4 linked regions of the Daphnia pulex genome follow. The protein of the gene in region 1 purifies or fractionates together with the protein of each later gene. This does not show direct contact. Links are inferred from orthologs where the notes say so. Each region holds a gene or a part of one and is shown on either strand. Other genes may lie near its edges. The genes, in order: peptidyl-prolyl cis-trans isomerase E-like, RNA helicase aquarius-like, zinc finger protein 830-like and ATP-dependent RNA helicase DHX8-like.

What was found.
Region 2: the proteins of peptidyl-prolyl cis-trans isomerase E-like (region 1) and RNA helicase aquarius-like purify together in Homo sapiens (affinity purification with mass spectrometry; 5 studies listed by BioGRID and IntAct, counting the BioPlex papers as one, with this or other methods). This does not show direct contact. The link is inferred for Daphnia pulex from reciprocal best matches to the Homo sapiens genes PPIE and AQR.
Region 3: the proteins of peptidyl-prolyl cis-trans isomerase E-like (region 1) and zinc finger protein 830-like purify together in Homo sapiens (affinity purification with mass spectrometry; 3 studies listed by BioGRID and IntAct, counting the BioPlex papers as one, with this or other methods). This does not show direct contact. The link is inferred for Daphnia pulex from reciprocal best matches to the Homo sapiens genes PPIE and ZNF830.
Region 4: the proteins of peptidyl-prolyl cis-trans isomerase E-like (region 1) and ATP-dependent RNA helicase DHX8-like purify together in Homo sapiens (affinity purification with mass spectrometry; 3 studies listed by BioGRID and IntAct, counting the BioPlex papers as one, with this or other methods). This does not show direct contact. The link is inferred for Daphnia pulex from reciprocal best matches to the Homo sapiens genes PPIE and DHX8.

The regions. Positions count from the first base shown.
Region 1 is NC_060020.1:8,628,632-8,633,425, reverse strand, and holds peptidyl-prolyl cis-trans isomerase E-like, read right to left. Parts: upstream 2,488-4,794; 5' UTR 2,189-2,487; coding exon 2,152-2,188; intron 2,088-2,151; coding exon 1,915-2,087; intron 1,838-1,914; coding exon 1,430-1,837; intron 1,371-1,429; coding exon 1,183-1,370; intron 1,119-1,182; coding exon 983-1,118; 3' UTR 897-982; downstream 1-896. Other genes in the region: uncharacterized protein LOC124191929, read left to right, coding at 63-90, 164-405, 483-585, 681-814; uncharacterized protein LOC124192235, read left to right, coding at 4,456-4,465, 4,543-4,794. UniProt on the Homo sapiens protein: Involved in pre-mRNA splicing as component of the spliceosome. Combines RNA-binding and PPIase activities.
Region 2 is NC_060021.1:10,933,720-10,937,997, reverse strand, and holds part of RNA helicase aquarius-like, read right to left. Parts: coding exon of another isoform or gene 4,009-4,278; intron 3,930-4,008; coding exon of another isoform or gene 3,543-3,929; exon of another isoform or gene 3,229-3,542; intron 2,784-3,228; coding exon 2,566-2,783; intron 2,490-2,565; coding exon 2,387-2,489; intron 2,286-2,386; coding exon 1,768-2,285; intron 1,699-1,767; coding exon 1,555-1,698; intron 1,487-1,554; coding exon 238-1,486; intron 129-237; coding exon 1-128. Other genes in the region: probable G-protein coupled receptor Mth-like 5, read left to right, coding at 3,543-3,929, 4,009-4,278.
Region 3 is NC_060019.1:8,117,687-8,123,256, reverse strand, and holds zinc finger protein 830-like, read left to right. Parts: upstream 1-2,245; 5' UTR 2,246-2,428; intron 2,429-3,381; 5' UTR 3,382-3,540; coding exon 3,541-4,119; intron 4,120-4,189; coding exon 4,190-4,510; 3' UTR 4,511-4,742; downstream 4,743-5,570. Other genes in the region: protein hairy-like, read left to right, coding at 64-987; tetraspanin-31-like, read right to left, coding at 4,833-4,898.
Region 4 is NC_060022.1:2,535,526-2,540,970, forward strand, and holds the start of ATP-dependent RNA helicase DHX8-like, read right to left. Parts: upstream 3,542-5,445; 5' UTR 3,410-3,541; coding exon 401-3,409; intron 337-400; coding exon 71-336; intron 1-70. Other genes in the region: merlin-like, read right to left, coding at 4,019-4,069, 4,128-4,287, 4,350-4,666, 4,727-4,978, 5,042-5,173, 5,244-5,373.

The sequences.
Region 1 (4,794 bases):
TCAGTTGTCACGCTCAGTTGTCGCAGTTGGACAGAGATCAACTTATTCCTGTTACAGTGATCATGTATCGAGAGCTAATAATGATAAAAGGTTTTTATATTTGAATTTAATTCTTGCTTTACAGTACAAAGTGAACCAACTAATGTCGTTTTGTTAAATCAAGGACTGTTTTTAACGTGGCTACTGCTGGCGTCTGCCTTATCAGATCCCAGCCCGGAACCGTTTAATCCGAATTATAATAGGTTTCGACAAAAGATTCCTCGAATCGGCCGACGAGGTGAAGGAATCATCGCTGAATACATGAATTCAGAATCTTTTCCTCACGAAGGAAGTCTCTCTAATTTTTTTCTGAAGGCATCAAAGGCGGTTCCTCGTTTGGGTAGGCGCAAGGATATTTCCACGGAGGTGTGTAGTCCACAGTAGACGTAAAAAATCAGATAATTATTTCTAAACTTAAAAAAAAATATATATATCTTTCGAAGTCTGGTCGGGCGGCAATGGTTGGGGAGGAACCTTTTGGCCGTATATCCAATGAAATTCCCATTATGAATCAGAAGCAAGATTTGTGGCCTAATATGAATATTAGTAAATATCTTTTTTCATTCAAATACCTTACAGTGTCTAAAAAATGTCAAACTTGGGAATTTCCTGTAAACATACCAATTATTTTACTTGTTTAGATGAACTAACAGGCGCATTAAATAAAGAATTGAATTATCCGGGACCGCGGATACCCAAAGACCTGCAAGACAATTACATCCAAGATTTGATTCATAGCTGGATCAATCAATATGAAAATCTCAACGAAAATTAAAGGACCCATGACGTTAATGTTTTTCTTTTGTTTTTTTGTTTTTTTCCGGGAGGGAAGAGGGTTGGAATATACTGTAGTCCAATCAATTTGTTTGTTTATATTTTTCATGAGCACAAGACATTGGTCATTAAACAATGTAGTTAAAAAAAAGCTTCTTTTATTCATGTGTTACAATAGTTCTCCACAGGCGGACATAATGACTTTGTCAGTCGGTTTACCAGACTTTGTTCCGTACTTCTCCACTTTACGTAAAACATCTAGGCCGGCAAGAAGTTGACCAAATACGACGTGCTTGTTATCCAACCTTTGAAAACATAAAGGTGCTATTAGCATTATAACTATGATATTTTAACAGGGAAAAAACCTACCATTCTGCTTTGTCAAGGGTTAGAAAAAATTGGGATCCATTTGAATTTGGGCCTGAATTCGCCATAGACAGAATACCAGGACCGTTGTGCTTCAACGTAAAATTTTCGTCTTCGAATTTCCCGTTTCCACCGAAAATTGATCGACCACCGGTTCCATCACCGTTAGTAAAATCACCACCTTGACACATCTTTTGCAAAAGAACGTTAATAAAAATAAATATTGATTAAAACTGAGCTTTCCGCTTACAAATCCTGGAATAATACGATGAAAACTGGAATTCATGAATCCATAACCTTTTTCATGAGTGCAGAGAGCAAGAAAATTTTCAGATGTTTTAGGGGCGACATCAGCTCTCAATAAAATAATTATTCTGCCCAAATTGATTTTTCCAGCTTTAAGATCCATGTACACTTGAGGGTTGCCGCGAGGCTTTTTAGAAACTGCTGACTTAGTTTCAGATTCAGAAACATTGTCTTTCCCTTCAGTTGATTCCTTATTGTTTTCCTCCACTGGATTTTTATTTTCTTCTGTCTTTCCAGCATATTTTTGCAACCAAGAATCCTCTGACCAAACTGGTCTAGAATATCCTTCCTTAATTTTCCGAGGTCTTGCAATGTTTACAGTAATTGTTTTGCCAAACAACTCAGAATCATTCTGAAAGAAAGGCATCCATGATGGCAAGTAATTAAATATTTGTTTACTAGATAAACTGTAAGAAATTGTGAGAATACCATGTTATCAATTGCGGCAGCAGCATCTTCAGCTAGTTCATACTCAATAAAAGAGAAACCTCTATGTTTTTCATGATTTTCATAATCTGGAGGTATTTCTATATTAACAATTTCTCCGAAAGGAATAAAGGCTGCACGCACTACTGATTCATCTGCCTCATCAGGAAGGCCACCTGTTAAAATGAATCACAGTAAGCATTACATTTCGTAAGACTGAAATATGTTATTTGATCTTACCGACATAGATGTTTCGCTTGGCATTGTTAGATGACATGTTGCGGCACAAATTTGAATGCACCACAAGAAAGATTATCAAGAATCGAGGTTACGTGTTCAAAAACTTTACGTAAAGTATTGAAATTCTCAATGTTCAAAGCATCCCCATAAGCTAATGAGTAATATATAAATATCACTGTCTAAACCTTCCTTATTATTATGCACAGTGAGGACAATAATAAAATACCGATTCACAGGTTGCAGACTAATCAAACTGAAAACTGGCGTGGGCAAACAGTCAAACACGTTCGTCAGAGTGCAGAGACTGCAGACAGCATGTTTCGCTTCGTTATACGATCAGTAGAGCTAGAACCAAAGTGGCTGTTCCGCTTTTTAGCGACTTTTTGGAGATTTTTCCAAATTCAAATAGCCCATCAGATTATTTTATTTGAATCAAAATAAATTCAAATAAACGCAAAATAAAAAGGCTACTCCAAAACTAGTAAACTTGTTGCTTCTTCGCTGCTACTTTAAGGTATCTGATGGGAGGATCGCGGAATTTTTTTAAAATTGAGACTAAAGCACTAAACCAAAAATTTAAGAAAAATTTAACGGACATCGACGTGAATCTGACTGTTGGTTTTGCCAGTGATATAGGAAAAATATACATCTCTCTGGTATATAATAACTACAACAAGGAATTGGATCTAATAAATCCATTGACATTAACCCGCGGATTTTATCTCAAAATATATAATATTTGGGCCGATTTTCTTTAACGACAAAAGAGATCGCATAAATTTTAGAGGTAGATCTTAATAACGCGCACTTCTTTTTCGTTGACGTCTGGTTGTCTCAAATGCAAGTTCCGCATTTATTTTCAAATCTTTCTCTTTGTGATGAATAGCGTTTCAGTTATTCAATTAAAACCGAACCTGTTTTTTCACACTTCCGTTAAGGGATAGTGTACCTGCGTACGAATAACGGTTTTCTTTTTAATTAATTTGGAAAGTTAAGGGCTTAAGGCTAGGCTATCATAGAAAATGATTTATGTCAAGTAAAAAAATTATTTAGACGTATCTACTGCTACGTCTCTACTCTCTAGGCTTGGGGGAAGGCAACGTCCTTTTTAATGCATTAGGGAGTGCTGGATAGCATTTAGTATAAAAAGAGCTGTCAAGCGACAAGCATTAGTTCGTTCACTTCGTGGGCATAGCGCCTCTAGTGGCGTGCATTTTGCCCTAGGATCCAAAAGATGTACTAGAAATCAAGCACTTCCTGGTGCGTAAAGGGCTACATCTCAAACCATACATATGAAAGCGGACTAGCCACTTCGGATTCAACCCACCCGTCCCTATTCCTGTCACTGTCAACTCATAGTCGTCTGATCACTCTGATGTAAACAAAATGTGTAAAGTGTAAACTCAGTAAGATTTGAAGTCAAGTGTAAGCAGCCGTAAATTTCATTTTAACCAATTGTTTCATCTCTATTCGAAAAGAAAACCGCCGTGAGTTTATTGAAAAACTGTGAGAATATGAATGTGGTATAAAGTTGTGGTGTTAAATTAAATATATTTCCATTATAAAAAAACATGGGACGAACATCTAGAATCCGAAACAGGTTGGTTCGAATTGTGCATTCTCGCCCACTTCGGATTGATTCACATTCAGAATTCGTTGAACTTTGTAAATGGATGAGTGCGAATGGTTGGAATGCTGTGTCAAAAAATTGTTTAGTTACAAAGCCAGCTCTGTTTAATAGCACTGGACGAGGTCTCATGGCTATGTCTAACATAGCTCCTAACCATCTGCTAGTCCAGATCCCCCAAAGTCTTCTTATCACTAAAGAAAAAGTTTTGGCAGAGATTCCTGACTTACTACAGTTCAGTATGACTACAGCAGAATGTCTAACTTTCTTCATTTTGAACTCCAAGTTTAATGGACTGTACTCTTCATACATTTCAACATTACCAAAGAGCTTCTCAGTTGGTGGATTGTGTAAAAGCCAAGAAATAGCTGTCCTGCCCAGCTTTCTTCAAGAGAAAATAATGTGTAATCAAAACTTTGTCTTAAAAAAATATGAAAAAATCTTTGCAATATGGAGAAAGATATACGGCTCAACCCTCTCACTCGAACTTTTCCAGTGGGCTTGGTTTTGTGTCAACACAAGAGCAGTCTTTTATCAAGATTCTAAACAACACTCACATGGATTGAACAAGGTGGATGGAATGGAAAATAACATGGCCTTAGCTCCATATTTAGACATGTTTAATCACGACGCAGAAGTAGTCGTTGAAGCTGGTTTTAACAAAACTACCCAATGTTATGAAATACGGTCAGATAGACACATCAAGAAATATCAACAAGTTTTCATAAATTACGGGCCGCACGATAACATGAAACTTTTTTTAGAGTATGGATTTTTAGCAACCAAAAATTTACACAAAGCTGTGGAATTCGATATCGACGTTCTCTTCGATTTGGTCCTTGGTTGTCCTTCCAAACCATGCTGTTTGCAGACTAAGCAGATCGCCCTTCTCAGACAACTCTCCAAGATGGGGAATTTATTTTGCAGCCAAGAAGGATTCAGCTGGAATGCACAAATAGCACTGACGATGATCTCCTTCAACGACACGCAATTATCGAAAAAATTTTGTTCTCCTC
Region 2 (4,278 bases), on another chromosome or scaffold:
TGGTGGTCACCAATCATGATCCAGCGCTTGAGACGGTTGAAGCCGTCCTGTGGCGTCTGCAGCAACAATGGAATGAAAGTCTCAATCTCCAGGATCTGGGCCGCTTCTTCCATCAAGATGTTATCGTACTGCATGATGGATTAGAGATTAACCAACAAAACAAAACAAAAAATAGTAAATTGTTCAAACATTTCCAAAAATGAACACATCCGCAAAGAATAGTTTGACGTTGCTCACCTTGAAGCCGAGCTCCACCAGCTCCCTGCGCTTGAGGGCCGCGTGCGTACAGGTCATGGCTATAATCTTGGCCTCACGGACCAGCAGGTATCGCGATCGATCAAGTCCGCTTCGCAATAGCTCGAAAGCACGGAACTCTTCCAGTTGACTGAAAATCTTCCGAATGTAGCGCCAGCAGCCATCGGCGATTTCCATGTCCTCGACGTAGCTGCGACTCTTGAAAATGGGTTGAGGTGCATCTTCAAAGAATTTGGCGAACGGGAAAAGGCGACCGACATCTTCGATTGTGACTCCGCTGCTCTTGTCGCTCCGGACTCGGGCCAGGTATTCTTCCCAGCGGGCTAAAATGTGGAGGCGGAAGAAGTGGCCAGCTGTTTCGCATGTGTAGGCCACGTCACCGGCAACTCCGAGGGATTGCTGCAATCGCTGAACATGATCCAACAGCTCCAAGCGCTTGCCCAGCACGTAATTCACTCGACCGTATCGGCTAAAGTCCTTTTCCGTTTCGAGCTCCTCTTCACCGTGACCCATACGGAGCAAATGACGCTCGTCGATGTCTAGAGCCATGATCTTTTCGAACAATTGATTGAGAGCCATATTCGAGTGAGTGACGATAAGGGTCCGCTGTTCGGGAAAGTTGTGATAAATGTTGGAGATAATTTGGACTGCAACGTCCGTTTTACCCGTACCAGGCGGACCGACCACCATTGTCAAACCGGGCTGCATACCAGAACGGATGGCTTCGATTTGGGTCGGCGTGAAACGCACGGCATTCTTCTTGGGCTCATTAAACGGGTAAGGGCCGCGGCTGGGCATAACATGAGGTTCAACTAAAATATCTTTTCCTTGTAGATTGAAAGTTAACCGGAACGGTGGGGCCAATTTCGTCGAACCGTCTCGCCCTTCTTTCTCTTTTCCGTCCTCTTCATTAGTGCGGATTTCGTGTTCTGGAAAGCTTTCCTTCAGATGGGCATAGTCCAAGAATGTGTCGTTGAAATCCAATGCTGGAATTTGATTGGGCATTTTGGAGTAGTGAGCCGCTCCTGGGTCACCGTAGCCGAGAATGATGTCGTGAAGCCATTCGGGGACAACGCAATCCGTGTTCATCAAGTCTCGGATTGTTTCCAGCACTGCTTTGAAGTTATTCTCCTTTGGTTTACGTCGCATCAAGATGTTGAATGAATCGTAAACGTCCTCCCCGTTTTGCGAGACGCGATCCATGTCCATCTTGTATTGATTGCAGTCCAACCTTTATAAAAGAAGTGGACGCATAAAGAAGTCTGATTGAAAACACCAACAGTCTCATTTGAAACATACCAAACGCGGAAGGTTCTCTGTCCTCCTGGAATTTTCGGTCTGGGATCTGGTCCTTCTTCAATAATTCTTCCAAGGTGATCCAACATACCTTCGATCTCACAGCCTCGGACGTAGACTAAACCAACTTGCGGAACGAATGGTTCTCTGAATTGATTTAAAAAAAAAACGTTAGTTTCATCTTGAACAAGAACTAAAACTTATCTAACAAAATACCTGAAGTTAAAGTGTGTTCCGGGTGGGCCAGGTGGCCGGACAGTGAGAAGAAAGCACGCATCATGTTTGCGCAAGTTCTCCCATTCGGACTTGACATCGTTACGGACGTCGAGGATGACCGAGACATCGGCGCGAACGCGTGAAGGCTGTTTTTCACCGATATTCGGTTTCCCTACTTCGACCACGGAGAAGGCAGTGATGGGCTGAGCCATCCTGGCCCATCCGCCAAACACCACGTTTCCGTCCTCGCCTTTCCACGGCTTCATGCGGAAAACAGAGTCCTCGATGTCCTGTCGGATTTCATAGGTCGACTCCAGTCGAAACAGGTTGAAGTTACGCAGCAGGTAATCGTGTAGCGTCAAGAATTGCAAGTTGAGTTTGGGCAAGGCGAGACAGCCCTCGCCGGAAAAATATTCAGTCGGCACGATGTTTTCGTTCCAGATGATATCCTCAGTAGGGTACAACGGCATTTCATTGAGTGCCTCCAGTTGGGAAGCGCGCCTTTCATGACGGGATATCTGTAATAAAAAGAATTCCAAGGGTGTATATAAAAAACAACACAACAACCTGTACTTTCTCCTGAATTACGCTCGTATGTTTTAAACTATTTTTTACTCACCAAGAGCTCCATAAGGAAATGTTTGTTTTTCTCATCATTATCCGAATTGTCTGGGGGTGGCAATAGCTTGAGGTAAGCCGCGATATCTTGCAATACCGTCGTACTGGAAAATTACAAAGTAAAATGTAATTTTCACGCCACAAGTTTTTGAAGAGTAAAACTAATCAAATTTCACAAACCTAAGGCTTTCGAAATGCTTGGTGAGCGCTTCACGGGTATTGATGCTGGCCACGTTGGTCAGCGCAAACCGCCTCAATTCAGAGTATTTGACAAACACGGCCTTCTGGAGTGCTGTGATGCGATCATAGTGGAGTTGCATCATGTCGTGGTCCGTCAACGGATCGCCGGTTTGATCATTGATTTCAAAACGGGCGTAGAATTTGAGCATGTCCAACAACTGAAACAAAAAGAATAGTGAGGAAACAAATAAATAAAGTTGTAAACAGGATATGAATAATGCATAGCGGCGAGCTCATGGGAAAAGAAACTTTTAAATTATTGATCAAAGTTTGAAAATTGCATGAACCTGCGTATAAAATCTAGACAATGCTAGCAGGATAAAACAAAAAAATTTCCACCCTTCAGGAAACTAACCGGAATATATATCGGTCCGGATTATAAGCCATCCTTCCCCTATTTCGAAATTGGAGAATAGAAGAACAACACAGAAAAAAGTGAGAAAAAAAAGAGGGGGAACGTGCCCTTCCATTTGAATTTAAGCGAAGCCTTGAAAAGGGATTGGGAGCGATAAGCGAAAAGAGAAGCGGCTGGAACACGGCACACCTGGGCGTGTTTTTCCCAAAGAGAACAAAAGCCCGTCACTTTCTACCTATTCTTATTTCCGCCGCAGGCTACAAGGTTGCTTGGTCGACCACATTTTCGATTCTGCTGTGTACCGACTATAGGCTACGCTCATTTTCATCTCCCCTGTCGTTCCGTCGTCTGTTGTTCCCTTGGACAGCGAGGGAGAGAAAAAGACAGAAAGCTTCGACACTTTGTTCAATTCACATCTGGAAACGGCCACAAATTACAACTCGGTGCTCAAAAGTGTTACATTTCAACGTAGCCAGACAGGAGGATGTCATGAGGCTGTGAAGATCTTCGAGATTGTAACGGGCTTCAAAAAGAGGAGCGGTCGCGTCGTCCTTGCGTCATCATGTCCGAGTGGACAGCTACACTGTTGCTTTTGCTGATCCATCAGTTGGCGTCATCGACAGGCTTAGAGAATCTGGAAAGTGAAGGGCCAGTCGTGGGTCACTGGATTCACGTTCAGAAATGCTGTCCAGAAGCTCACATGATGGTGGAAGTGACCAGCAGAACCACGGCCACCACCCACAGCACTGGCTCCAAGTTTGAATGTCAATTGCAAAACGATACATCTTTCCGGTGGGCACCCGATTTCCTAGACAACCATAACAACCTTCTGTCTTTTGAGGGAAGCCTGGATAAAGACAGTGCCGATTCGGATTTTAACATCACCAAATTCTGCATTCCAAACGGGCCTTGCATCTCATCCATCGTGGGTAAACCACAATGTGGACCGGTAAAGAAAAATCAAAACTACTAATTCATTCAACATTTTCATGAAAATGACATGTGTTTTCCATATACGCAAAAATTAGTTTCGAGCCTGGCCCATCTTTACATACGCCGGATTTCAGGAAGATTTACAACTAAGACCTTTCGGTGTCCTGCGTCACGTGGTGGACAAGTTGGCTGAGGTTCCTCGTCACCACGAATATCCACTTGATCAGTATTGCGTGGACGGTGTTAGACTTTTGGGATCCGTGTCACATTTCGGCCACGGATTACCAAACGGTGCCGAAAACACAAGTTCAGCACCGTTGTCGCCTCCGTCAGACGGCCCGGTCTACTACGCTCTCATCTGCGAG
Region 3 (5,570 bases), on another chromosome or scaffold:
TTTTAACTGTTTAAAGTGTTATTAAAAACGAAGCTGGAACTAAATAAAAATTTTAAATTTCAGGGTTCCCGACCGGCTAAACTGGAGAAGGCCGACGTTTTAGAACTAACTGTAAACTACGTCCAGAAGCTTCACAAGGAACGACGTAATAACATGCGGGACAATTCAAATGATGGAAGCACTAGCTGCCCGATCCCTAATGGTTTTTCGCCAAGATCTAATCAATCGTCAAGGTTTAAAGATGGGTTCATCGAGTGCGCTCGCATCGTTCGAGAAGTTTTACACAATCAACCCCAGCAAGCAATGGAAGGAGACCTGCAAAAAAGAGTCGGCCAATATCTTGACCGATGCTTAACTAATTTAGTTCCCGAACTACTGACCAACCGAAAATCGCTTTCACCTTCGCTCGGAAGCGACTCATGCACATCGTTTGAAGAAAAATACATGGACCCTTCCGAATTTGTCATGGACAGCTCTTCACCTGCAAATCGTATTTGTTCATCACCTTCAACATCGGAGGAAAGTCGGGACTCGTGCTCTCGACGGTCATTTTCAAACGAAATCAACAGCTTTGCTGATTTAACATCAACGCCGAATTCTTCACCGAGCAATGCGCTCAACGTGATACCGTCTCGCTGGACTTGCGGTTTCAAGTCCGTTCCATTCTTCGGATCTCCTGATTTGTCAGCTGAGAACTTGAATCAAGGCAACAAGTGGGAAAATCATCAGGTGGTCCCTTCTTCAATGTCATGCGAGAGAAAATGGAAGACGAGCGATGCCAATATCGTGGAACTTTTTGCATGTGGTGTCCCATCAACCAGCGCTTTTCCATCAGATTGTTCTTCCAGCTCTTTGACTTCCAACCAACACTACCAACATTCACCCGAAGTTATTTATCGACATCAAATCAGCCTGTATGACGATCATATTTCATCACCTTCCTTGAAATCGGATGCGGATCGTATGAAAGTATGGAGACCTTGGTAAAACTCGGTAAAACTACGTGATAATGGGTGTCTTGATTTGATTTTGATTTAATTGTATGTTTACTTTCTTACCGAACAAAAATAACTCATAATCGTGATTCATGAATTGTACATAAATGAGGATAATAAATAATATGCCATGTTATTCAAACGAAGTTTCATGTTATTCCGTCCTAGTTTGAAATGCAGTGATATACTGTCAACAGTGATTTTTCAATTTTCCGGGACATTTTGATATATAATGATAGCTGCAGTTCCGCATGAATGGTGTTTACGCTGGATGTGCTGGGAAAGACGGCACAGTCAAACCTAATTTACGCTAACTTAGCCAACAGCTAATATTAATATTGATACAATTCAATTATATAGTCAGCGCTGGCATTACACTGGCTTATACATTCGCATATAAGGGAGAACAAGTTATGATGCTGTATATAGAAATTTCAGCTGAATTTATTAAATGCGCACTGAGCTTTCTCGGGTTAACGATGTCGATCTTTACTCTGTACAATAAATCTAATCTACAGAATTCATTCTGTAGTGAGCCAAGGAAACGTAATCGTAATGTGTATAACATTCGTAGGTCACAATCAAGTTTTCTTACGTACTGAATAATTTTGACTTTTTCTTTAAATAACAAAAAAGGCCAGCGTGTTATCACTAGAAGTTTCTACATAATATATGACATAACTCTCCTGCCTACGGTAATCATCCTTTGGCATTCACTTTTAATGCTTAATTTTTTTAAACATATTTTTAAAATAACTCTGGTGCTCAACTCTCGAAAAACCATAATTCTCCTAAACACTACCATTGCTTTAAATGAAAGAATGGAAATGGAAGTAGCCTAGTAAGGAACGAGGAAATAGATGCTCGCTATTCAGGTTTCTCTCGCGCAGTATATAGTACGTACGTCTTTTTTACTCTCACGGCAAAAGCACAGCAACCTGATGCGCTCGATGGAGCTGTGCGGCTAAAAGGCCTGTTCACAAAAGGCGCTTTCTATATAAACGATCTCCTGAACATTTGGAAACCCGATCTTCGTAGATAACAACAATCTCTTCCCCTCTCTGAGGTCATGACCGTTGGGTCTAGTAAAGGTCCCTCACGTCGAGAAATATCCCTGTGTACACTTCATACAGCGATATCTACGTACGACTACTATATCTACCACGAGTGATAAGGAAATCAAACGAGATATCCGATTTCAACATGCCGGAAGTGGCAAACGATTACTTAAGCTGTCCCTTTTCCATTCTTTAAAGTAAAGGACTGAGGATGAGCTGGAGCGTTGAGCTCGTTCATTGAAAATGTGAATGAAAAAATGGCAAGTTAAGTTCTAGTGAAATGGGACGTTAGAGAAAGAAGGAGAAGGTTCTCTTTACATTTCTATTATTCTCATCGAAATTCTGAACCGGACATGAAAACCGTTGATAACGTCCGTAAGTAAGCGACTAAATAATGAACAAAGCATGACACACGGGTCACGACATTTTGTCGGGGAGTTGGTAACTATTTTCTGTTTACAGGACTTCATGGATTTAAGAAAAATTTACATGCGCGTTAACGTTTGAGCCATTCAAATTCAAGTAAAAAATGCAATCCAATTTTTCCGAGCCAAATTCAGAAATCTCAATCTATAAGAATTTTAAATCTTATGGAATTCTGTACATTAGTGTGTTATTTAATCGAAACATCAGTAGTTAAACGATCTCGTACAAAAGTGAAAGGCTTGGTGAAGGTATAACTAGATACAGACTGGACACTTGCATGTTAATAAAGCTATTGGGATTAATTAATTTACTGAATGGCACATGGGCATTCCAGATACCGCTCAAATAATATGTTTTGAAAACTTGATGCTTGAAAACTGAAAATGGCTGAATAATAATATTTTTTATATGGATCAAAAATTAATTAATATGTTTATATTTTGGGTAAAAAGACTTTATTCCTCGTGATTTATTCCTAAATTTATTCACAGGGCGAAAAAAGTGGGATTTTTGGGACAGAGGTAATAAAGGTTGAGTGGACTAATAAAGAGTGAGTCGGGGAAAGTGGAACAGGGAAATCTAGAGCAAACACGTATATCAAATAGTTCTTTTTTAATTTGAAAATTTTTTCAAGCGATTGGCTGGCGTAACATTCTTGATCATATTTTCGTTCTCAGACAAGTGTTCTTGTCAAACCACGAAGCATGAACACTACCCAATGGCTGTCTTAATTTTTGGATTGTCAGTCTGTTTGAGTTTTTTTCTTTTTGCATATGTGGTAGGATAGAGACACGGAGACAATGATTAGGCATGCATTGAAGAATAAAACAATAGCCGTGTTTGAGCTCAAGTGTGAAATTGATAAATTATTTTCAAATTTATTTGCAACTTTTGGTTACCAGATGACAGGTCGATAGGCTCAAGTTCCTTCACCAGGTGGTGCTTCTGCAGTTGTCGACAACTGTTGTTTTGATTAAAACTTGAAAGAGCAAAATTGGACGAAATTAATAACTGTACAACCGAATTTTTTAAACTTTGTTGTTGCTCTACATAAGATTGAAATGGCATCGAGTTCATCAAAATCGTCCTTAAAGCTAATGGGATCTGCTAAGAAAATAGATTCACCGCTAGCTAAGTACAACAGTGCTGGACAGCTGACTTGCATCGTGTGTAATAGCGTTGTCAAAAATGAATTGGTCTGGACTGCCCACGTCAATGGAAGACTACACCGAGAAAAAGTGCTTTCTTTGAAAAATCCCAAAGTTGAAGCACAGTTCACCAAGCCTCAAATTATTCCTGCTGTCAAACGGAAAGCAGACTCAATAACTACTAATGGTTCCTCAGCTTCACCATCCAAGAAAGGAGTTCCGAAAGATTTTTTTGATAACCAACCTCCTAATTTCATTGCCCCAATGCCAATAAAAAGCATCCTAAAAAACTCAACAAAACCCAAGTATGATTCTAATGTAGTCAAAATTGAAACACCTACCTTAATTGAGGACATGGAAACTGACGATGCACCTGAAGTGTCCTCTCAAACACCAAGTGGAACTGAAATATCCACTTCACAGCCAGGAGATGCTATTTCTTCTAATGCCATACCTGAAGGATTTTTTGATGACCCTAAGATGGATGCCAAGGTTCAATGCCAAAGACTTTAATGTTATTTCTACTTATTATTTAACCTAATATCTTGATATTTGTTTATAGGTTCGCCAAATTGAATTCAAAGACCCTGTAGAAGAAGAGTGGAACAAGTTCCAGAAAGAAATTGGTGATGAAGTTACAGCATCAGTTGCCATCCAAGAGGAAGATCAGGAAGAATCTACAGCTGAAAGACAGCTGGAAGAAATTGAAGAGCAAATGATAAAGTGGGGGAGAGTTCTTGAGCTGGAACAAAAGAAAGAATTGTATGGCCAGCGTGTTCGAGCTATTCGTGAATCGATGGTAGAGGAGAAAGAGACAAGTTCAAGCGACGAGGACGACGCTGAAATGGACAAATTCTTTGATTGGCGATCGAAGGCTACATGATCATTTGTCCACAAACGTCCTGCAAAATGTTGATGTTAAATATACCGGAAAGCACGATTTGATAGTTAGATTTATAATGTATTTCAGTTAACTGAACAACATCTATTGCCACATCAATTATATTACGCATATCCCGCACCACTTCGGCATTGCATCATTCCGAGAAAAAAGGAAAACATAAAACTTTTGCTAACTGAAGTCCAATAAGGACGATGAGCACACATGACGAAATAATAAAAAAAAATTAATTGTGGAATGGGAGCTGATGAAAATTCTAGTGTAGGGAGCGCTTTGACACAGTTTCCAATCATGTCTTCGAAAATCACTGCACCTCGTTCATTCCAGCAGCCATGTGTCTGAAGCGATATGCGACTGAGAATCCCACAAGCTGCAGAAAATAAAACAAAAATTATTTAAATTTAACAATTTAGATAAAACTTAAGAAAACAAAGGCAATAATAATAACGCTAAATTTAGGCCTAGCTACGGTAAAGCACCTACAAAAAATGAATTCAAAGAACCGTGTCCAATAAGCTCAAAGCAAAACAACACATAAGCCATAAAATGATGAACATGTTAGTTATGGAGGAGACCAGTACCTTGAGTCCTAGGAATGAGTGTTATGCAAAGATGGTAAGTGTGAAGGAGAAAAAAGGGTACGGTAAAATGGAATAGAACAAACGGGGGATCAACGGCAGATGGATTCGTAGGAAGAATTTAGAGAAAAGCACCGGGGTGGCCCTTTGGGTCTTTCTGATTGCGATAGCGTACGGTCAACCACACTCCAACGAACTGTAGAACGCAACATGGAGACAATGACACACAAGAAAAAAGATTTAATTCCACCTATCGAAGGCCGAAAATTATTTTACGTTAAGACTTCGGCAACAGTTTAATGTGCAGCCCCCAAATAAAATAGGGTGTACAAAGTATTGCGACAGTTCATGCAATTTTAATTAAGCTATGATGCCTCTAATTCGATATCAATTAAGTAATGATAACTACGATTTCAGAAGGAATTTCATTGGGAGCCTTCGTTTGTGAAAAATAAGCATGTTTC
Region 4 (5,445 bases), on another chromosome or scaffold:
GGAAAGTGTAGAAGAACAAATGTTAGATTTTTGAACGGATAATACAATTTGCATCAAAGACTAAACATACCTGTCCATAATGCCCAATAGCTGTTTACGAACATCCTGAGCTCGTTTTAAGGTACGCATCTGAACGAAATTCTCGTAACACCAGGCACTGCTAAACTTGTTGTTCTTCCAGGAATTGTAAACGGCCAATAAAGTGATGTGATCTCCTTCGGCTTGATTGAATTTGGCTTTCTTCTGATCAGCCAACTGTTGCTTATCTTTGGGTCGGTAGAAGACGTTCTGAACTGACAACATGGACACGACTGTCAAAATTTCGTCCGAACACATCTAAAACAAAAATTTTTAAAACGTCAATTACATCGATCAGGAACAATTGTTGATAATATCATACCAAGTGAACAGACATGATGAGCATCTTGGAGAGAGAAGGCTCCAGAGGAAATTCGGCCATACGTCGACCAAGACGCGTGAGTAATCCTTCGTCGTCTAGAGCGGAAAGGGAATGCAGCTGTTCAAGTGCCATGATAAGTGACTCCACAGGAGGAGCGTCCATGAAGTCGAAGTTGAGCAGGTCATTGATGCCCATAGCTTTGAGTTGCAGGACAGTGGAAGCGAGATTAGTACGCTGGATCTCGGGAACAGGCGTGGCAAGCATTTCATCACGATAAGCTCGCTCCGTGTACAAGCGGTAAGTCTTTCCAGGTCCAGTACGACCGGCGCGACCAGCTCGCTGCTTGGCTTGCGCCTGTGAAATGGGTGTCACCACCAAAGAGTCCATTCCGGTCTTGGAATTGTAGACTTTCTGCTTGACAAAACCAGGATCGACGACATAGTAGATACCGTCGATGGTAAGACTGGTCTCGGCGATGTTGGTGGCGATAACAACTTTTCGGGAGCCTGGTGGAGCCGGTTCGAAAATTCGAGTTTGCATTTCAGACGGTAGAGCGGAATAGACGGGAAGAATGATGAGCTCAGGAACGTCAGGGCCCATGGACTTCATGCGCTCGTATAGAATTTCGCAGGCAGTATCGATCTCTTCCTGACCAGTCAAGAAAAGAAGAATGTCGCCCGGTGGTTCGTTAAGGTGGATCTGCATGACGGTAATGAGCGAGGCATCCAAGTAATCCGTCTCAGGTTCCCGAGTATACAATATCTCGACGGGAAAAGTTCGACCCGGAATGGTGAAGATGGGCGCCTCGAAAAAGTACTGCGAGAATTTCACGGCATCCAAAGTGGCCGACGTTACGATGAGTTTGAGTTCGGCTCGCTTCTGGACGGCTTGCTTGAGAAGACCGAAAAGAACGTCTGTGTGAATAGTTCTTTCGTGGGCTTCGTCCAACATGATGCAGGAATACGATTGCAGATCGGGATCAATCAAGCATTCACGCAGCAACATACCATCCGTCATGTACTTGATCAAAGTTTCAGGACTGGTGCAATCTTCAAAACGAATCGTGTATCCAACTTCCTGTCCTAGACGACAACCAAACTCTTCCGAAACTCGCTTGGCAACGGACATGGCGGCCACACGACGAGGCTGCGTACAGCCGATCTTTCCACGAGCCGTGAATCCGGACTCGGATAGATATTGAGTGATTTGCGTAGTTTTTCCCGAGCCCGTCTCACCGATGACAATTAGGATTTGGTTGTCATTGACAGCTTTGATCAGTTCATCTCTGAGTTTGTAGATGGGAAGTGATTGACGTTGCTCGACGATGGACAAACTAGTTTTCTTGCCGAAAGAGGCTCCTTTCGGTCCACCAGTGATGTGCTTTTTCCATTCGGGCATGTCGTATACAGGGGCTCCCGTTCCGCGACCCAACGACGTTGACGGTGCAGCCCCAGCATCCGGCATGGGATCAATCCAGGTCTTGTTGGCGCCTTGAGCCGGTGCGTCAGCTGCTTCTTGTTCTTCTCTGAGCAACATTTTCTGTTCGCGGCGTTCTTTGCTGAGAGCGCCTTGCATCATGGCGGCTTGAGCTAGAGAACCGTCGGGATTCTTGACGATACGAACCGGACTAAGTTCATTAAGCACTCGACCGTGACCTCGAAGAAAGGGTGCCTCTTCTTCCACCAACTCGATTTCGATATCTTCTTCGTCTTCGGCCAGCTTTGGCAGTAAACCCGTTTCTTCGTCGAATTCGGGCAAGTCCATTTTGTCGATACAATTTGCTGCCATCATTTGCTTCAGTTCCCAGCGTTCAGGAGACGAAATCCGTTGCACACGCTTGCGGTTGGTTAGTTCATCCTCCTCTACATTTGCCTTCAAATCTAGCAATGAGAGAGGTCGATCTGGATTCCTTAAAGCTGTTTCACTTTCCTGGCTGGTTAGTCCAGGGCGGCTTGACGTCGAAGGAGCTGGGTTCAAATCTTCGCCAGTGTCTTGGTCCACATCTTTCATAGAAAGAGAGATCTTTTGGCCAGCAATGCTCATAACTTTGACATGAACCTTATCTCCACGATTGACAACTTCAGCCACACTATTCACACGGCCTTCTCGTCGCAACTGGGAGATGTGCACTAGACCCTCACATTTTTTCCGTATTCCTTCAATTTGTACAAAACAACCAAAAGCTGCAAGATTCATGATTTTTCCCGCGTAGACATTTCCCACTTCTGGATTCTCTGGAAAATCTTTTTGAGGTTTCTTTCGACTTGGGGATTCTCGTCTGCCTTCGTTACTTCTTTTATCATGATGACGATCACTTGTTCTGTTTCGATCTCCTCTATCTGTACTCCTGGACCTGTGACTTCTGTCCCTGCTTCTTGATCTCCTCTTTTGATCTCTGCTTCTTGACCTTCTACTTCGGTCTCTGCTTCTGGATCTCTTGCTGCGGTCTCTGCTTCTTGATCTTCTGCTGCGGTCCTTGCTTCTTGAACGTCTGCTTCTTTCCTTCTTGTCTTTACTCCTTGCTCTTTCCTGAACAGGCTCGATTGCTTCAGTAGAAATCTTTTCTTCTTTAGGAGCCATGGCTTCTAGTTCAGCCATTAAATCGTTAGCTTCTTCAACATCTTTAATAGTCAATTTTATGTCTTCGAGAAGCATTGTTCTTGCCTTAGGGTTATCTGCTAAGGCAAGACCAGGGAAGAGTTCCCGTTTCTTCTCTGTTTCTGCATTGTAAACTGTTTTCTTTACCTGGGCTAAGTTCACATCAGTTGTTTTCGAGTTGGCTGATTTCATGTGTTTGATAAGACGAAGCAAATTTGCAATGAGAGAGTCTGAAAACTCGGCGCCATTCTCCAGCATTACACTTTTGAACTCATCAAAGGTCTTGTGTTTTTCGGCCAATGCGATGATGAACTCTGCCAGATCTTTATCGTTGAGTCCCAAATGGTTTTCCAATTCTGTGCACACCTTAGAAACAAGCGACAGGTGTTCGAGTTTCTCTAATTCATCCATGATGATATAGGATATTTTGCCACTTATTAAATCATTTACAAATTGACAGCACAACAATTGGGATGGCGACGAATGTGGAAATTGACGAGCCGACGAAAAAACGAATGCTTTCGTTGTTAAGACAACGTTGCAAGAATGCTGTAAAAGAAAAATCAAAATTAATAGATGAACTGGCAACATTGCGCGCAAAAAATATTTACATTTTTTCGAAATGAATTTGTTAACTTTTGCGTTTCACAGATTGAAATGAAGAATTATCTAATCTTTCTCGGTTCTCTGCATTTTGTGTTTGAATTTGAATGAAACTTTTCCATGTTCATATTGAATTGGTATTCTAGACATACAGGTTCATTTTGCAAAATTCATATAAGAATGTAAACAACGCCGATGCTGCTACTAGTAAAAGACATTACTCATTAGTCAACAAGAGTTAAGTTTTTTTTAAATGAAAGTCTATTTGTCTAATGTCTATGATGATAAGATTTCACGAAAATGGGCAACTTAGTGAATTAAAGATTATAAACTAAGTTGCATCCATGAAAATGGTCAGCCAATTTAAAATTTATGTACAACACATTGTCAAAAGTAAAATTAAAAATATGACTTAAGCTACAGCTCTTCGAAAAAGGCCACGCGCGCTCCAGTCGATCCAGATTTTGACTAGGAAAAAAAGAAAAATTAACTCAAATTTGAATTAATGACTCTCATTCATGCGTACCTTTTTGAGAGTTGAGTATTTGTCGTCCCCTGAACGGAGTTGCTCTTCGTGTAGCTGATCGTAAAGCGTTTGTTTTTCACCTACTTTCAAGACTTCAATCTCTGTACGCAATTCTCTCAGTTGCTCCTGCAGTTGCTTCGATTTTTCCAAGTATTCGACTCTAAATTTATTTTAAAAAATGAGCAAACAATTACGCAACAATTCCTACGATAGATTTACAACCTCTCTTTCTCAATTTCAAGTGAGAGTTGCTCCATATCGCCATGTGTCATAAGGTCATAGTTGGATGAAGAGTTGACCAGTTCGGAAGCAGCAATAGCTGATAGATATCCACTACTACTTAAGCCAGTTAAGTTGGTGAGGCCAGTAAGCTGATTAGCCAGCGGAATAGGAAGGCGGGCCTCATAAGCCGGCAAACTTGCTTCGTTAGAGACATCGTCGAGTCGTCGTAAATGTTGCTGAATGTCCGACTGATGATGTAAATGGTGGTCTGATCCAGCTACCGACGAACTTGATGTCGGAAACAAGTTGGGAACAGACTGAAAAATGGTAATTGTAGTTATTCGCTCATTAAAATGTTGACAGAAACTGCAAAGTACCAGGACAGACGCGGACGACGGGATGCGTGTAATTGGACGAGATGCCGAGTGTAAGGCTGCAACACTAGCTTGTGTTGTTAAAAACTCTAGTAGCTTCTTTTTGGCTTGAGTTTCAGCGTAACGGGCCTGCAAAAGGTCACCTTTTAGCTGCTCTGCTTCTGCTGCACAACGCTCAGAATTCTCTAATAACCTTGAGGCAATTTGCTTCGCCTCATGTAATTGTCTCTGAGACAAAAGTTTTTCCTCTTCGGTCTAGACGCAAAAAGACAATTAAATGTAAAGCTACCTAAATAAGTTATGAAAAAATTCACTTACTTTCATGGCAGATAAACGAATTCTTTGCAACTCTTGTTCAGCGTCTGAGGCTTTTTGAGTTAACAACATTGACTCTTCTTCTGCAACTCGCGCCTTTTCGGCCAGCAGCTCAGCCGACTCTTCGGAACGCCTCTACAAAATTGGTATAATGAAATACTGTACTTGATACTAAAACTAAAAATTAAACTGAAGAATATCATACCAACTGTTCGTTCGCTACACGGAATTCTTCCTGAAAGTGAATTAACTGTTGTTCTAGGGCTGCTTTTTCACGTTCAGCTGTTTCGCGTAGTTGCTTCTCTCGTGCAAGCTTATTTCTTTCACTCTGTCGTCTGAAAAACGGTAAAGTAACCACAATAAGAACTCAACAATGAATAAGACAAAACTTGTCAAGGTCAAATTTA